Linked DNA regions of Daphnia pulex. The protein of the gene in region 1 interacts with the protein of each later gene in a pairwise test. Links are inferred from orthologs where the notes say so. Each region holds a gene or a part of one and is shown on either strand. Other genes may lie near its edges.

What was found.
Region 2: the proteins of protein quaking-like (region 1) and ELAV-like protein 3 interact in a two-hybrid assay, tested with the Caenorhabditis elegans proteins (2 studies listed by BioGRID). The link is inferred for Daphnia pulex from reciprocal best matches to the Caenorhabditis elegans genes asd-2 and exc-7.

The regions. Positions count from the first base shown.
Region 1 is NC_060021.1:4,081,681-4,084,561, reverse strand, and holds the end of protein quaking-like, read left to right. Parts: coding exon 1-24; intron 25-1,028; coding exon 1,029-1,108; 3' UTR 1,109-2,381; downstream 2,382-2,881. UniProt on the Caenorhabditis elegans protein: RNA-binding protein that binds to the 5'-NACUAAY-N(1,20)-UAAY-3' consensus sequence in pre-mRNA introns to promote alternative splicing.
Region 2 is NC_060020.1:3,291,553-3,295,654, reverse strand, and holds the start of ELAV-like protein 3, read left to right. Parts: upstream 1-1,302; 5' UTR 1,303-1,715; intron 1,716-3,462; 5' UTR 3,463-3,497; coding exon 3,498-3,584; intron 3,585-3,695; coding exon 3,696-3,873; intron 3,874-3,995; coding exon 3,996-4,102. Other genes in the region: AP-1 complex subunit mu-1-like, read right to left, coding at 1-42, 118-159.

The DNA.
Region 1 (2,881 bases):
CGTCATCCAACGACGGCACCGCTGGTGGGTTGTTTGCCCGATAGCTTCTTTCACTTTCCCTAAATTTTATAAGCATTATTGATTTCGAAAACTGTTAGATTATTATTTCCATGTATGCTATTTGATTTGTTCAGAGCTATTTTTAGTCTTTAGATTATGACTTGATTTTTTAAGCTTAGGGACTTGATTACGTTTTAGTTATAGTTGAACTTTGGCATATTTCGTGCCTTGTGCTTTAATGCAAGCAGTACGATTTATTTTATTCTATTTTATATAGATATATATATATATATATTTTTTTTTGGGGGGGGGGGGCAAAACCACGTCAAATCATAGTGGCACATAAAAAAAATAATTTTCTGGTTTCTTTAGCTGCGTTATTAAAGTGTAAGTTCGTACTTTGCTTTCTCTTGCTGCGTGGATATCTAAATAGTCGTAAGAACAAATTTTCATCAAGTTCAATTTGTAGTAATGGACTTGCAAAAGAACATTCCCATCCATTACTGCGATTTTTTTTTAAGGGAATCGCAAAAGGATGTACGTCTAGCAATTTTCTTAAAAGTCCTCGCTTTTCTTCAGTGAGCGTTTTATACAATTGAAGTTGGATACGTTTCAGGAGTAAAGTGTTAATTGAAAACAATCGCCCACACTAATCTGGTCTTGAGATGCCATCAAGGTGTCGTGCCTGCTGGTTGATTAAGTGCAACAATTTTTTTGGAGTTGATTGAAATCTCGTGTTTTTAAATCAACTGACAAAAAAATTGGTCAGTTTGGTTCAAACACCTTTCTCGGTCAATTGTTTTAGCAATTGACTGATGGTCCGGTACTCAATCCTCGCAGGCACGACGCTTTAAATCAGCTTACTTAACATAATAGGATAAATGACGAATTGAATGTTTTAAGAACCAAATGTTTTGTCTTTTGTTTTTATGAATCACATTATCTGTCTTTACTTCTTCAGTGTATTTAAACATAAACATACTAATGAAACACCGGCCGCTCCGCTCCCTCTGTCTGGCTGATTGTAGGAGGCGCTAGTGGGAAGCTGAGACGCCATCTGGGCTCGCAAGGGCGAGAGCATCCTTACCAAAGGAACGACCTCAACTAACAAGCCAACCAACAACTACCACCCAAAAACAAACCAATCAAAAACAAACAAAAATCCAACCCAACCATCCAGCAGTTGTCCCAGATATTCAGGCCAGGTGCGTTGCCTCTTCCAACCAAACCTTAACTTACTAATACTAACATCTTATATATATATATAGACATTTACGCACAAAACCAATTGTGTTGTGTTTTAAACGTGAGAGTTCGTGTAAGCCAAGCGTCGGAGCTAGGTGCGAATTACTGTTGAAATGTCGCTTTGATCAATTTGTCGGTAAATTTGCCTTAATTTTAAAGCTATCAATGCTGTTTCGTGCATTCAAGGCGAACGTTCTGTGTAAAAATGATTTGGCTCGTCTCTGTGAAGTTAGGTTGCGTGTTTCGTTACTTCAAATGTTTTATTGCTGTTTGCAATATAACGATGATGACAGATGCAGTTTATCCCGTTATTAAGAACTTCACACACACACACCAAATCCGGTGCCCTACACGTTCATTCGCTCGTGGCCATTTTCTCATTTCACTACCGCCCGTAAACAAATCCATCTTCAATCTTGCAAGTTGTTAGGGCGAGAGTGCAATCATTGAACAAAGTTCGTGCTTTTTCCTCAATGTGTTAAAGGCTCGCTAAAGGGCGAATTACAAAAAGGACAGTGGAAATCTGCTTCATAAAAATGTGCAACATGGCATATGTTAAATTCAGGCCGGCAAGCTCGCTTTCTCGTTAAACGAATCAATTATTTTTGGATTTTTTAAAATTATAGTATCACTGATATCTTACTACCGAACTGAATGAAACAACATACAAATGGTCTGAACTTTGAATGTACTTGTCAACCTTGTAATTTTCCTCGAAAACTAATTCATTAACCGGCGTTAATTGAACGTTTATTAGCTGAAGATTGAAGCAGGTGGCAACCAAGAATCAAATAATTTCGACAGCTAAAATTTAAGATCTGTTTGTTATCCGAGTGTCGTGTTATGTTTCTCGTGTTTCATGTACAGTTTCAAATTGCATTTAAGTCATTCTATTTTCTTTAAAACGTTTTTACTACTTTCAGTTTAGCTGTATCGCATTCGAACTCTTGTTGGACCGTTTCGAGTGTTTTTCTTTTTCTTTTTTTTTATGGCGAAGACCATTGTTTGTCTTTCGTGTCATTTGATTTGCAGAGAAAACATCCGAAGTACTTAGTGCCAATATTTACTATTATATATATAATGAATATATATATATAATTGTTTCAGCCAAATACAGTGGTATGCCTTTCTAAAAATCATTTGCGTGACTTTTACTTAGTTTATTACGGTTTCCTATGCGATGTAGTCGCATCCCTTCTACCATTGCTTCCTTTGGTTTTGTATGTGAAATGACGTATTTGGTGTTATTTCGATTACTGCGTTTGCGTTTTAACTCAGAAGCGGAAACCTTAACTAGCGACTCGCCTTTTCAGTGGTAGTGTTCCATCAATTGGGACTTGTTGGTCTTAGGGCAGGGCTTCAATTTCTTGGCTGTGCAAACTTAAATTAGTCTACTTTATCCTGAGGCCAAAAGAAGCGGTTGACGAAGATTTTACGTATTGCATAAGGATTTCATATTACTAACTCTTCTTGATCTAATCCATGCCACTTAATCAATATCGATGGGACCATTTGATACTAACGATTTTTTTTTTCTTTTTCTATTCGTTCTTTCAATATCCCTTACCTGAAACTCCCTTACCTTTTCGTGACTTTCTTGCACCTGGTAACACCAATAAAACTTGCCACCCAATTA
Region 2 (4,102 bases), on another chromosome or scaffold:
CCCCATTTCGACATCTCCTCGGTAGTTGCGCGAGATCAGCACCTGTTTGACACCAACACGTATATACTCATGACTCATAAATATTCATATAAAATCAGAAATTTAAACTATCTTTACCTTTCCCTTTACGTCAAGAATGAAGATTGCTGACGTCGACATGATGAGTTAAAAAAAAAGAAACCACTTATTGTTTAATATTAATAATAAGAGATTTCTTGATATTTATTTAGACGGGAAATGGGCCGAGATGACAGTGACACCGCCACCCAGTTTGGCAGGTCTTTATCGGTCTTCTGCTACGGAAAATGCCAAGTCGCTGAAATTCAGATTCGTCTAAAGCGCACCAACAAAATGGGTGAATTTTCATTTCGAAAATTCGACGAATAAATGTTTCACAGTATGTTACATGCTTAAAATATATATGATTTGTAATTTTGAAAAAAAAAGCTAATCAAAATGTTTAATCGAAGATCCTATATCGCCCCATGTATGATAATCGTGACTCATTGCAGTCTGACATTTTAAATTCAACTAGGAATCGAAACAATGGATTTTCAAAATGAAGAAGAATATACACCTAATTATTTTGATATTATCTGATCGAGAGGGAATGAGAAAGGGGGGAACGATGAAAGCCAAGTCGTAATACGTAATTCGTGCTTTATTCTGCGTCCCTTTGTTTGATCGATGAGAACCGTGGAAATTAGAAAAAGATTCCTTCTATTCAAATACATCAACCCACATACAAATATACATTTTTATCTAGCTGCCTGTGTGGTATACACGCAGTTGGAACAAAAGAAACGCAGCTAGATGGTTATAAATGAGTTCAATCCAACAAATCAAAATGTCGGCTCTTCTCTCTCTCTGTGCAGTTGGCAGAAGACACAGCAGTCATCCTGTCTGGCAGAGTCAGGAAAAGATTCGTTCCCAAAGGCTAGTATACGGACGTTCCTCAACACACTAAAGAAATCAATACACAGTAAATCCTTAATGACGTCATCCTCTGCTGAGGAAGACGGAAAAGAAAAACGAAATCGTCTAAAATCTTTGGCATTCCAGAGTTAATGAGTTACACCAACACATTTCTATTACTTGTCCAGCCAAATATATAGATCGGAAATATATATAAATAAACATGGCTAAAAATTTTTTTTTTATTTATACAAGAGGGATATATAGAACTTGAAGCATTTCCATTTCAACGAGAGGGGGGAGAATAACGAAAATGTGTGCGATCAAAGGAGGTGGGGGGGAGAACGGTGGTGGCGCTACCATGCGCACTGCAATTTTCCATTCGAACCGACTGTTTAGTGTAGTAGACGTTCAGACACACAGCGAGCAAGTCTTGTGTTCCTTCGTTCCCATCCTTTTTGAAGTTTTTTCTCGTGTGTTAATTTTTTCTTTTTCTTCCATCCATCAGCTATCAGTTTCCTATCCTCTTTTTTTGTCTTACCTTTTTTCAGTTTTGACAAAAACAAAAAACAATTAAATTCTAAATTCGTATTCGTAATTTTGACTCGATATTAAAACACACGGGCTGTTTTTTCTCTTGATTTCCTTTTTTCGAAATATCGTTTTTTGATTCGCGTTCATTTTTCTACCTACACGTTTTCCCTCCAAAATCGTTCTTTTTCTTAAATCGACGACAGAGTGTGAGAGTGTGTGAGACCACGCGGGTAACCACCGGCCATTTTTCCAACACATCATAAAAGGTAATATAATAATCTTCGATTGCATAGGGTACCCCCCTTTTGCCATTTCAAGATGGCGGTTTTTCGGAGAAAGAAATAAGTAAGAGATAGATCGGGTCAAAAAAAGAAAAAGAAAAAGAAAAAAAGGTATGGAACGGGATGGGCTACGTAAGCAAACAGCTGCCGAAACCAACTGTCACTGTGTTCATACCCAGCCTCTTGCCCTAGCCGTCGTGTGTGTAGCTAATCATTCCCCCCCCCCCCTTTCCCCCCACCTTTTTTTTCAGTGAGTGTGTATAGAGTTATTTTCATTTCACTCATCAGTCAACACACACACGAAAGTTTCGTGTTTTATTTTTTCAGAAAAAAGGGCAAGGTCTTGTCAGGAAGAAGCAGCTGCAACTATGGGAGGGTCTATATCGATTTAGTTTTTTGTGTGGCCCCCGCGCGTGCGTTCAAAGCGACGATCAATAATCCAGCGGCGTCCGGAGAGACCCCCCTCCTTCTCCTTCGGGAATGTCGTAGACTTTTAGTAACAGTAACTCTACAGCTTCTTTTTTTTTTTCAAACATTTCTTTTCACGAGGTGCTGAGAAAAAGTTTAAATGCGTTTTCTTTTTTAAGGTAATGACATTTTCTAGAACGTTAACTCATCACCCTTTGTCGGTTTTTGAAAAAATTAAAACGGAAACCGGATGAAAAGTTCCGAGTAGGGCAGATGGTGGGCGCAAGCGCCACTTCGATCCATCTGCGCCGTGTGTGTCTATGTGTTTGCATGGCCTCCATGGCAACCGTGACTCCCCCACCTTTTTTTCAGTGAGTGGATCAATAGTTCTTCTTCTTCTCTGTCAGTAGTATAGAAAAAGAGAGAGAGGGGGTAGTAGTTGGCTAGCCTAGCGAACAAGATTTTTTCGAAAGGAGAAAAGAGAGTCGAGGGAATCGATGAAAGAAAAACTCGTTTTCTCTCTCTGCCGCATTGGACGATTCGATCCTGGGAGACATGAAAGAGCCGGACGTAATACGAAACTCTCTCCGACGACTTACTTTTTTTCCCCGGGTATTATTCATGACGAGGGAACATTGTCGCGCGTCTTGATCTAACGTGTCGTCCAAAAAATGTTATCATAAAAAAAAAACCGTTTCTCAAACAACAACCCCGTTATTATTTGTTCTGTTGTTGCCTGCGACACAAGAGAGAGAAAGATCTCATCGACCCCATGTTGCCCGCTATTCAATTCAAGAGTAGGGTGTCTGCACATTTCATGTGCAGATGGTTACCAGGGGGTTGTTGGTTGGAGCAGCTGCATCCAGGCTTTTTAAATTCCCCCATCTCCTTTTGTGTGTGTGTGTGTTCACTGTGTGTGTGTGTTGTGATTGTGTCCGGACGCGAATCCCCATTCCACGTCAGATGGCGTCATAATCCTGCGACCAACCAGCTACTCTTGTGGTGTACAGACGCCGATCGATAGCTCCTCCGCCGAGGTCTCTAGCTCCTTTTTTCCTCTGACGCCCAAAAATTCGGCTGGCTAGTCCGTTTTCTGTTTGTGTGCTTTTGTCGTACTAGGGGTATGCGAGTTTTGGCTTTCTTGTTTTTCCGTTTTAAAAAAGAGTATTTTTAATGAGAGGACACGTGTCTTTAAAACACTTTAGTCACGCTAATGAGTCCCGTTCCACCTCGGAGCGATTGCTCTACGACTTTTCTGTGGGCGTATCATTAACTTTTGTCTGAACAAAACATTTATTTGTTTGTATTTTGTTGTCTTTTATAGATTACGCAGCAGCAGCCGAAAGCATCAGCGACAGAATGAACGGTTTAGAAAGTCTACCTCAACACGGCGTCCTGACAGCCAATGGACTCAACCACGTTGCATCCGTCAATAATGTTAGCCACGTGAGAGGATTCGTCTGTCTCATTTTTCTACTCTACTTTTTTAAATCCATTTCCTGGACTTGTCGTGTTCGACATTGACGTTGGTGTCTTGTTTCTTTTCTTCTCATACAGGGATCGCAGCACATTGTACCCAAAGATGACGAGAGCAAGACTAACTTGATTGTTAATTACTTGCCACAGACGATGACCCAAGAAGAGATTCGTTCCTTGTTCGCCTCCATTGGCGAAGTCGAGAGTTGCAAACTCATCCGCGACAAAATCACAGGTCTTGATTTTGAGATCAATGATGGTAGATAATTTATCGACTGTCTGGAATTTTATTTTAACCCCTAAATTATCCGAATTCAGTAAAAATCAACCCGATTTCTCTCTTTTTTTTTCTGTTTCCGTTTGTGTCTTTCGATCTGAAAGCAGGGCAGAGTTTGGGTTACGGATTCGTCAATTACCACCGAGCTGAAGATGCCGAAAAAGCCATAAATACTCTCAATGGATTGCGTCTGCAGAACAAAACCATCAAG